Linked DNA regions of Schizosaccharomyces pombe. Changing the gene in region 2 together with the main gene of any one other region gives a genetic interaction. Each region holds a gene or a part of one and is shown on either strand. Other genes may lie near its edges.

What was found. Genes that interact genetically often act in the same process or in processes that back each other up.
Region 1: mutations in rrp16 (region 2) and gst1 together harm fitness more than expected from each alone (negative genetic interaction), as found in Schizosaccharomyces pombe (one large-scale study listed by BioGRID).
Region 3: mutations in rrp16 (region 2) and ate1 together harm fitness more than expected from each alone (negative genetic interaction), as found in Schizosaccharomyces pombe (one large-scale study listed by BioGRID).

The regions. Positions count from the first base shown.
Region 1 is NC_003421.2:1,718,596-1,721,910, forward strand, and holds gst1 (glutathione S-transferase Gst1), read right to left. Parts: upstream 1,476-3,315; 5' UTR 1,420-1,475; coding exon 730-1,419; 3' UTR 548-729; downstream 1-547. Other genes in the region: SPOM_SPCC191.10 (uncharacterized protein), read left to right, coding at 3,233-3,315. UniProt on the Schizosaccharomyces pombe protein: Involved in the oxidative stress response and detoxification.
Region 2 is NC_003424.3:4,801,504-4,805,127, reverse strand, and holds rrp16 (rRNA processing protein Rrp16), read right to left. Parts: upstream 2,007-3,624; 5' UTR 1,950-2,006; coding exon 1,813-1,949; exon of another isoform or gene 1,758-1,812; coding exon 635-1,757; 3' UTR 544-634; downstream 1-543. Other genes in the region: putative U2 snRNP-associated protein Sap145, read left to right, coding at 1-498; sec24 (coincidence detector Sec24/Sfb2 subunit), read right to left, coding at 2,593-3,624. UniProt on the Schizosaccharomyces pombe protein: May play a role in ribosome biogenesis.
Region 3 is NC_003424.3:2,076,560-2,080,866, forward strand, and holds ate1 (arginine-tRNA--protein transferase), read right to left. Parts: upstream 2,285-4,307; 5' UTR 2,172-2,284; coding exon 2,055-2,171; exon of another isoform or gene 2,001-2,054; coding exon 1,969-2,000; exon of another isoform or gene 1,928-1,968; coding exon 1,862-1,927; exon of another isoform or gene 1,808-1,861; coding exon 1,284-1,807; exon of another isoform or gene 1,238-1,283; coding exon 1,167-1,237; exon of another isoform or gene 1,126-1,166; coding exon 865-1,125; exon of another isoform or gene 826-864; coding exon 721-825; 3' UTR 548-720; downstream 1-547. Other genes in the region: AAA family ATPase Elf1, read right to left, coding at 2,715-4,307.

The sequences.
Region 1 (3,315 bases), on a different chromosome or scaffold from region 2:
AGCGACTGCTTATATTGATTTTCTCTTTGTTTTTTATATTAGGACCTTTCTAAATTCGATAATGAATCACTTCTTCATACCCTACATTATATTTGTGTTCATGAGTATTTGAATTCATCTTATTTACAATATTCAGAATAATTAAAATAAAAAATATAAGACAAGCCTGCCCAACATATAAAGAAAACAATATTTGATTATTATTTATTCGAGCTTTTGTTTTAGACATAATATTTATAATTTACTTAAAAATTTAATAAAATCATTGAACTTTTCTCAATAAATTGACGACATTATTTAAAAAAAAAAAATAAAAAAGGTCTTGTAGTATAAGAAAAATAAAAAGATAGTAACAATAAAAAAATAAAATAAAATTAGCGCCTCAAGTCATTTCGACATGATTACAGCTATCCCTTCTTTCATTTTATATTTTTTACTTTTGATGATTGGCTTTTCCAAACAATAAATACCAATTTTAGCAAGAGCAATACGATGGATGTTACATGGTCTGCTTTGTATATATTTTCGGAATGTATAGTAGAAAATCATAGTTTAAAGATGATATTATTGAAAGAGCACTTGAACAATTGATGTATGAAACGAAAAAGTTGAGTCTATATCTATATGCATAAAGGAAAGTAAACAATGCATGAATTTTGAAATATAAAGAATCAATCAATCAATTGAAATATTGGAACGTTATTATCAAGATAGACGCCACAAATTCACTTAATTATCCAAAGCCTTTGATCTTTCTTCGAAGGTAGCCTTGCTAGCAGGTCTGGCAAGAAGTCTTTGATGCCAGGAATAAGTTCTAGGAAACTCTTTTTCAAAGTCGAGCTGAGGCACTTCTTCCTCGATTGAAAACTTTCCTTCTGCAAAAATAATTTCAAGGAAGTTATTCCATGAAATGAATGATAAGTCAGCAATTGTGAACCGGTTGGCCACGAGATAATCACGGTCTTTAAGGATATCTTCGAGGACTCCTAGAACACGTTTGATTTCATTCCTATAACGGGTAATGGCAGATATGACTAGCTCCTGATGATAGACGCTAAACCATCCAGCCTGTCCCCAAATGATGCCTTGGCCAGAAGCTTGAAAAAATAAATATTGTATAACTTTGTAGTATTCAGGATGGTCACGAGGCAAAGATATCTTCCTTTCCGTATCATATTTGTCAGCTAAATAGATTAAAATGGCATCAGATTCCCAAATGGTATAATCGTTATTGTGGTGATCAATCAAGGTAGGTACTCTACCGTTAGGGTTTAAGGCTAAGTGTTCGGGGGATTTCTGCTCATTTTTTGAAAAATTCACATATCTGGTTTCATAGGTAAGGTCCAACTCCTTCAGCGCTTGAACCACCTTCCATGGATTAGGACCATGAGCATGCGACCATAAAGTGAATTGAGCCATGATACTTTATTTTGAGTGTGTTCTATTGTTAAATGAAAGGAGTTTGGCAATGGATTAAAATATAAAGAGCATCTTTACCATTTTATATACAATTCTTACTTCCATTGCGTATGCAATATTTATGAAAAATTTTGGAAAACACCCGAAATCGAGTTGATCAATTTCATCCAACTTACTAATCGATCATACATTAGACTCATACGTGGATTCAACTAAATTTTACTCGATTAGCTGACGACAAGCCGGAAGTTATGATTTATGTCAAAACGTGATCAAAGAAAGATAAATCTACTACCGATTCCATTTACTAATACATTTGAATCCTGTTAGCCGGTTACACGCTACATTTAATCAATCTTGTAATGCATCAAAATTTCATGTAAAATTTCTACCAACATATAGTGCGTGGGGACTGACTTCTCGTTTTGTTTAACTATGTATAATCCTTGTGGGAAATAAACGTATGCTTAGTGTTATATTTAATTTCTTAAAGGGTCGGCTTAATGCAATTCCAAATTCAAATGCAATTAAAACTGTTTCAGGTTCTTAAGACATGTAGTTTTCAGAATTTACGAGTCAGTTGAATAGACATCTTATGATAAAGTTAATATAAAAATAATAAAATAGTCTCAACCATACGCTCGAGATTTATTTTGTTCACCACCTGTTCAAAAACCAACGTGTCAAACTTGCTTTTAGACTACTGCACATATTAATTCAAACATGCTAGGGATTCACAATTGGATTTTCAACTGTAAAGATTAGTTATGACGGAGTTTTGTTTCTCACATATCAATTTAAAATTCTCTTCACTCTAATAATCTTATTTCGAAATCTACTTTATTTTTCATCATACAGTGAGTGTAATATGTTTAATTTCTGTAAGCGAATTGGTAATGATTCCCTATGAAAATTTTTTGTTTACATTTACTACCTTGACAATACGATACGTAAATTTTAAAGCTATTCAACATAACTGCAAACACGATGAGTAATTTTGCATTATAATCAGAAAAAGAGCAATGGAAACCAAAAAGCATACACCAACTTGATCAGAGTAAAGCAAGTACATGAACCAATACATGTTTATATCCGTTAAATACTATTTTTTTTCTTTTTAAAAGTATATAAAAATAACCTTTTTTGGATTATTCAATAAACGTCCAGCTTTTACGTCTTTCATTAATTGATTGAACTTTTAAAGTCGAAACCCGATAAATACAATCATGTCTAATAACGTTTATTCATCAAAAACTTTTATTCATTCAACAAGCTCAAAGCTCCATGTCCTTCAATTGACTATTCAATGTGATACATTGCAGCTTTTCCCATATTCTTACAACCCATCGGCTTAGTTTCAACGCATTTATCCAGGATCCTAGTCCGCGAAATCGAGATGCTTTGAAGATTAAAATTAAATTTAATTTTATGCGAGACTGGTTTCCTTATTTTTTGTATAGTCGCATGCAAGCGAGGTTCGCATAATTTGGAAAATAAAGGTAGTCAAGAAGACGTTGAATTAAGGCTGCAGTTTCAAAGTACTCTACAAACGATTCCTTTTAAAAAAAAAGATTCAAAAAAAAAGGCAAAGGGTTTAAGTAATGCTTGTTATTTCAATTTACCTCCAAACAGTTACTAATGCAATTGCAAAAAAAAAAACCTACCTATTGAATCAAAATTTCTAGCCCATCCATCGCTCCTCAAGATAAAGGAATCGATATTTTGAGTTTAAGGGAGTTGCTGATAGATTTCAGAATTAAAAATTTTTGGAAAAGGATGTCGAGAACAAGAAGATACGTCTAGATTGCTGATGATGCATTCTAGCAGACGGAAATACAACGATATGTGGACAGCACGACTTTTGATCCGTTCGGATCAAAAGGAAGAGAAATATCC
Region 2 (3,624 bases):
GAAGAAGAATCTAGTGAAGAGGAAGAGAGCGAAGACGTAGAATATCCTACTGAAGAAATTACTGAACGTGAAACGATTGAGGAATATCAGTCAGCGTCAGAGCCTAGGTCACAGAGGGAAGATTTGCATGCAGAGCCCTTAACGTATTTTAATCAATCTAATGTAGAGGTTGACAATGTTGAATTACGAAAAAATACTCAACCAAGTAGTGATGCTGCTAATCGAGACTTATATCAAGTTTTACCTGAAAAATCTACTAATATCTCAGGTTTCATGGGTCCTCAGCATCAATACGACATTCCTACCGCTGAAGATACTCTTCCACAAAAAAGGAATGCACATTCCATGCTCTCATCAACCAACAAAGGAGATGTTGCGTTAAATCAAAGTTCTAATTGGCAAGATGAGCTTTCGGAGTTGGTGTCTGAGCAGGCTATGAAGGTTGGTGCTGCGAAACGACAGAAAACACAAAGCAAGAGAGACAAGTTTCGTCTTTAAATTATTATCTACAGTGTACATTAGTTAATCTATATGACAGTATTATTGTTAAGCTCCATACATTATTCAAGTATTAATTATTATTTGTAAGTGAAAATAAAAAAAACCCCAATTTATACCCTAGCTAAAATATATTTTATATACTGTTTTTTTGAAGATGGAAGTCTTTGTGACTATATTTTTCCTTGATCTTTGCACGATACTTTGATTTCTTCAATACTGGCAAAGATGGAGGAACCATTGCTCTTTGTTGTAAACTTAAATAGCGATCGGCAAACAAATTTCCTTCAGGCTTCAGCTCTCTAAGGGAACTAGTCAGCTCATCTCCCAACTTTATTTCAAGTGGGTTGTTAGGCAATCGATGTTTACCGAATTTTTTCTTCTTCAGTTTGATTTCAGTTGTGCTAGAAGAAACAGCCTTATTAGAGAATTTCTCAGCTTTATCCTTTTGCTGCAGTTTTTTGGATATTGCAGGAGCTTTGTCGATCGTCCTCAGAAGCTCTTCATTTTTCTTTTGCTCAAGTAATCTAAGCTCCTCCTCTCTTCTTTGGCGTATCTTATTTCTTTGAGACCTGGTTTTTCGTTTGTTCTTCGAAGAAGGGATCGGAGTTTCTGCTTGTTCGTGTTCAGACTGGTCATCAGAATCAATGCTGTGATTAACGTCTTGGTCTGAAACTAATCCCTTGTCTTCAAAAGCTTTCTTCTGTATTCTTTCCTTTTCCTCTAATTCACTAATTCTTTTCTGTTCTTTCTTAAGTTCCTCTGAACCTTTGGTATCAAGTAGCTTCATCCAAGCTGCAGCGTCAGGATTGTATGACATTCCTGGATCAGCGATAACAACATTTGGGACTTTTGCATTATTCTCAGTTAAAGATTCGGGTAGTTTAGATAATGTAGAAGGTCTTTTAACAGGTATAGTAACTGTTGGGTTTGTTTCCCAAACATCATAACTTTCCTTTGGTTGTTTGGTATTTTTGAGCTCACTAGCAGCAGAAGTTGCGGTTAAACCATCTTTATTTTTATACACCAAAGCTTGTAGTCTATTTAGTTCTTTTCTAGAAAAAATTTTTCCTTTCTTATTGCTTTCAGTTGAATTATTCGTTAAATGAGAATGAACTTTTTCTATGGAAGACTTATTTTCAAGAATTTGATCAACCTTTAATGGTTTAATTTTTTTTCTGCTTCTTTTTGCAATTCTATCATCACCAAGAGTGTCAATTACAAATAAAGCATCATTCGGCTTGTGCTCGACATTTCCACTGTTTTAAGTTAATAAAAATATTTTTAATTAATACAATGCAAAAACTAATATACCCTTTTATTTCCTCATCTCTAGTCTGCTCTAGACCAGACTCGATATCCTCCAAATCAATATTTTTCCTCCATGCTCGTTTGTTTTTACGAGATGATTGTTTATATTGAGAAGGTGCATTCCTCTCTTTGATTCCCATCTTTTTAAAATAATAGGATTTCGACTCTCTAATCTAATTACTACAATTAGGAGTGCTTGGCAGAAGGCAAAATTCTACCACTTGCCAAGCACCTAGTACCGCAGTGCAAAATTACATTCTTAAATTAGTTTTTCAATATAAGTGAATACTCGCCTGGATATATAATCTAATTGCAATGAAAATGAAATTTAATAAATATTTAATATTTTTTTTATGCTTTAAATAGAAGATGTGAAGCTCTAAAGTGCGAAATTGAAAATCTATACACTGCAACTCAATTGTAATGAATTAAATTAAATTATTAGAACCTTTTGTTATTCTTGGAACAACTTCAACATCAAGTAATATGAAAATAGACAAGGTATAAAAGCTAAAATTTATGTACAAGCTGGCTGGAAGCTACATGTACGCAAATACCTAATTTAGTTTGATACATATATAGCTTTCATCAATATAAAAAGCACCAAGTATATTTACTAGATCAATTATTTAAATTTTTTTTTTCTTAAAAATACAAAAAACCAAAGAATGTTTAACCATATTGAATATTATTAATTAATCATGTCACTAATTCAGGCATATATTACCATCAGAACAATCAATTTAAAAAAGTTTTGTAGAAAGTAGCCAGATTTTACAGCCTTTAGTCACGAACTTTCTCTTTAAGAGTCTGCAAAAACTGTAAATAGCTGGGAGAGTTCTCACTACGATCCTCGACGAAGTGAGAGAAAAACCATGAGCGCAATTGTGGATCACCATCACCACGTACAAGGTAAAGACTAGGCATAATAGTTGAACCTTTATCCAACGAACGAAGTTTACCGAGAATCGCATTGATACGAACGTTAAGTGGGTTGTCTATAACTGGCATTGTAAAACGTCCAGCTTTCAAATCCGCAAGAGAGTTTACACCAAATGCGTCTATCAGTAGCTGCGGAACTGCATCTTTACCAATATACAAAAATTGATGAATGTGTGTATCAACCAAATATAAACCAAAAGATTGCAACAAAGCTGAAGTAAGATTTAACGCAGAAGGGAGAACTACACCCTGTTCTGTAACAGTTCCTGCTTCAATAGGCATATCGTGCAAAGAATAAAGAGTTGGATAAATGTAACGCATTAGTAAAGGAGTTGGCAGAGTACTTAAATAACATAGAGCAATAGAACGAAGGTCAGATGAGATATGACTAGATCTTCTGAATCCAGTATGCTTCGTCAATGCTAAACAAAGCAATGGTAATAGTCTTAAATTGGTGCTTATTTGAAGCGGGATCGCAGCACCGGTGTTTTGTCCAGCCAAATTTTTTTTGTAAACTTCCAAAATTTCTACAAGCTTACTTATAATGCTATCACGGGCTTCGTTCAACGTAGAAGAAAGAGCCTTTTCACTAGCCCGGACAGTAAGATATTGTGCAATGGCAACTTGATCGGCTGATGCATATAAATCAGTCATACTATTGGTAGTAGGAAGAGAAATAGTCAGTACACGAATCCGTCTTTCACCGTTACAAGTAGTATGGAGCATAGCTGTTTGGAAAGAAACAAAGGGCTTGGTGATAGTGTCCTCAATAACAACCTCTACTACATAACTCTGATCGCGAGGAAAAGAAGGAAACGCACATAGATCACTTGAACGATTAAAAAAGTTTCCGTAGAAAGAAGACATACGGAG
Region 3 (4,307 bases), 2.7 Mb from region 2:
GTATTAAGAAAATCACAGTGCAAATTAATGAATTCTTTATACAAATGGTACAAAAATAGATAAAAGAACAATCCCTTATTACAACACCTTGTTTTAGGAAAGTAAAAGTAAAATAACTTCAAAATGGCATTCGAAGAAAAAATCAGTGCCTAGAAGTTGAATTGTAAGCCAACCGTGATTAATTATTTTTAAAATGCAGTCAACCCAATTTTGACACGAAATGTCATCGAAATCTGGTGTTTGCTAATACTCTATAGAATGAGAACCTAGCAGTAACACTTGAGAAAGAAAAAAGAAGAACAATTAAAGTAAAATCTCTTCTCTAAATGATAAAATCCTTTCTCACCTACTATGCACTGTTTTGCGATTATATTAAGTCGTGAAGTACCGGTAAACCCGTTTTTGTGTTTGGTTGCAAACAACTCGTAACGGAAAAGCCCACTAAGTTATGTTAGGGTGACATTTTAGGTAGCGTGCAGTTATAAATAATTACAAAATAAATATATAAGCCGGCAGTATTTTATATTATTAGAAATGCTATCAACTTCGATTAAGGGACATAAAAGAGGAAACTATCACACATAAGTAGTAGCATAAAATTAACTTAATTCTGTAAGTCACATTGTAAAATTTACTCTCAAAGCCATCCTGGAGTTCATTAAGATTTTTAAGTAGGATGTTCATATCTTAAGCAAATAAAACACGTAGACAGATAATATATCAACTAGATAAAACAAGTGTATAACTCTTTGCGACTTCTTCGCCCACAGCAGCATTGATTTCAACAAACCAATGTTTAACCTGAGGGAAATAACTTAAAACATGCTGAAGAATTAGCATTGTTACTCAAAAATAAAGACATACTCTTGTGGGGAAAGTTGAATTGCCAATGTTAGCAAAATTCTCCGAAACCAAGGACTCAGCAACATTTACTGAAAGAATTCCAGGAAGCTGTCGATTAAACAGTGTATAATCATCTTCGTTTTGAGATGAATCTTCAGAAGAATCGTAGTCAACAGCAGTTTGAATATCACTATTATTTTCATCCCCGAAACTTATATATTTAGGAGCACCAGTATTCCAAAGTGAAGTAAAGTTTTCAATTGGTATCCATTTATTTGTACCCTGTTTGTATTAGTTCAAGTTAAAATCGAATGTATACGTACGGGATTAAGCAGGTACGATGGACTATACGTTGCCTTATACTTCATTTTGGGACATGTGTGAATATAATAACCTGCAAGGTCAATCAACGTAATTAAATAAATGACATTTTAGCCTACCCATGTAGTAGTACCGATATCCGCATTCAAGAGCAAGCCAGATTTCACGGCAGGCACTAATCCTTCCCAGAGAAAACTTAGACATATCAGGATCATAAAACAGATAAACGCTAGAAACACCATGTGGTAGCAAGTCTAAAACTCCAACTGCCACAAGCCTTCCTTGAAATCGATACATCTGATGATAAGAACCATACTTTATCCCCTTGTCTTCATTAAATAAAGGAGAGTTGCAAAGAAACCTGCTAAATCCTTTTTTCGTGATTTCCTCTTCTTTCTCTAAATGAACTTGCATTTGATACTTTTTGAAGACTTCAAATTTCTCATCGGTGTAAGTGCAAGGCTCCATAGTTACAGAGTATTTTTCAGCTCCGAGCGATTCTATAGTTTGAAAGGCATTGTTCAAATAATCTGTGCTAATTTCGCTTTTCATAGGTTTTAATGGCTTTCCATTTACATATTTGACCCATTTTTTTATTGCCTTCTTTTGCTCTTTTGCAATTTTAAAATTATAGCTGTCGAGTCTTCAACATTCGGCGGTTAGTAATCAATCATATTTGGCGACTTATGCTAAGTACCTGATTGTATAAAGAGAACAGCAAGATGTTTTCCCGTTGGGTTTATATAAATAATGTCCTGAACGTCTTATTTTATATTAGCAATGTTAACTAATAAAGGTTTTTACCTCCATCCCAAATCAATCAATCGCTGGTAGTCCTGAGGTTAAATGTAGGTTAGCAAAATTTGCAAAAAGCAGAGTTATACGCTTACTTCACAACTGAGCTTTTCTGCTAATAAACCAAAATGCTCGGTCTTTCTTCCACTTTTACAATAACCACATTCAGTACTGACGTTGTACCCTGTGTACAACAGTTTATCCAATACCATACTATTGTTTGAAAATTTCCCTGTTTAATATTAAATGAACTATATCATCAGTAGTAAAACTCTTAGTTCAGTTCTTTTGCCTTTATTTTGAAGGCTCTTTGAGTAGGTGAACTAAGACTACACCAATTATTTCTTGAAGATTAAGTACCCTATTTTTCGTTGAGTGCATGTTTATAGAAATTTCCTGATTAATCATATTAAAAAGTCTATCACATTTTCATACGAATATCTAGAAAAAAACCCAAAAAATACATAGTTCTCTTGACACCTTTTACAAGAGTCAATGACAAAAGTGTATACGTCTAATACAACTATAACATGCACTAACGATAAACAAAACATATAAAAAGCGACTAATATTAATATTATCCACGATACCATCCACCAAGTTCTATATATATAAATTAAGTCTAAAAGGTATATCAGTAAACCGTAAATATGTAAAAGACCAACTTCAACAACTAGCACCGTCTAAAGAAAATTAAAGGATAAACAACTCTCAACTTGTCAATCCAAAGAGCGAATTAAAAAATTAGTCTGAAATTATTCTTCATCATCAGAGAAGAATGATTTGGGTTTTTCGGTGCCCTTGGGAGATTGTAACCATGCTAATTCTCTCTCTCTAGCACGTCTTTCTTTGGCCTTGATTTCATTTCTCGTCAATTTCTTCTTTTTGGTAGCTTTAGCCTCAATCTTTTTCAAATCTTTCTCCGACAGATCTTCAAACTTTCCATCGTCAACAGCGGTCTTGCCCTTACCGGTAACCTTACCCGCTTCTACATGCCAGTGTTCAGGACACAACGCAGAAACAAATTCTTCATTATGTGAAATCATAACGACCCCACCTTCCCAATCACGAATAGCAACAGCTAAACCACCTAATGCATCTCTGTCCAAAAAGTTTGTAGGTTCGTCCAAAACCAAAAGCTGGGGGTTATTCCAGAGACACGCAGCAATAACAACTTTAACCTTTTGACCGCCAGACAAACTACTAATGGGGCTGTAATCAGCAATGTCGCCAGGAAGGCCCACATCCTCAAAATGTGCCCTGATGTCTTCGGGAATCAATTCACGGAAACCGAGACCTTCGCGAGAAGATTCCATATCATCAAAAGCCTGTACAAACTTTTGAAACCCATTTTCAAGCAATATTTCTCGAGACACCCACGTATTGTATTTATGAGGCTTCCCAAACCATTTAATTTCATATTGAAATGACTTTTTTAGTTTTTGACGGCCAATCAAAGCTTCCACTCTTCTACGTTCGCCATTGACCGTAATATCACGCTGAAGCTGAGCACGGTCTTCTTCGGTAAGTTTTCGAGATTCCTTCTCTGAAACTTCGCGGTCCTGTCCTCCAGCATAACGCCATTGAATATATTGACTTGGCGTTTTTTCCAGATGTTGATCCAAGTGATGAAAGGCATGCTGAGCAACGTAACCCACACGCAAGTTGGGATGCTTGAAAACTTTTCCTTCTTGAGGGATTACTTCACCGATAAGAACTTTAATAAGCGTTGATTTACCAGCACCGTTAGGACCTAAAATGGCAACACGAGAAGATAAAGATAACCCAACGGTAACATTATCTAATGACTTCTTCTTCGCGTTGGGATATGTATAAGAAGCGTTTGTCATTTTTAATATGAGACGTGTGTTTGAGCGCACACCAGTTAAGATACCGGGAGGTGGAAAAACAAACTTCTCGTTTGTGGCTGTCAATGTATAGTATGATTTAGCTTCCGGTTTGACCTTGACAAAAGCTGAAAGATTACCTTGATAATAACCAAGCTTTTTTGCCTGGTTTTTAACACCTTCATAATGAATGATGTCAGTACACACGTGGTCCAAAAATGAAGAGTCGTGAGAAACTATCAAGCAAGTAATATTCTTTTGAGAGGTTAAATATGCTTCCAGCCATGCAATATTGGCAACATCAAGATGATTTGTTGGTTCATCCAAAAGCAAAATATCAGCTTTCTGCAACATGGCACGAGCCAACTCCAGTTTCATTTTCCAACCACCAGATAAAGAAGCAACAGGATTTTCCTGCATCTCCGCAGTAAAACCAACAGAATGCAAAGCATCAGCAGCTTCTTGACGGGTAACATTCATAGTCAGTAACGCCTTATCTTG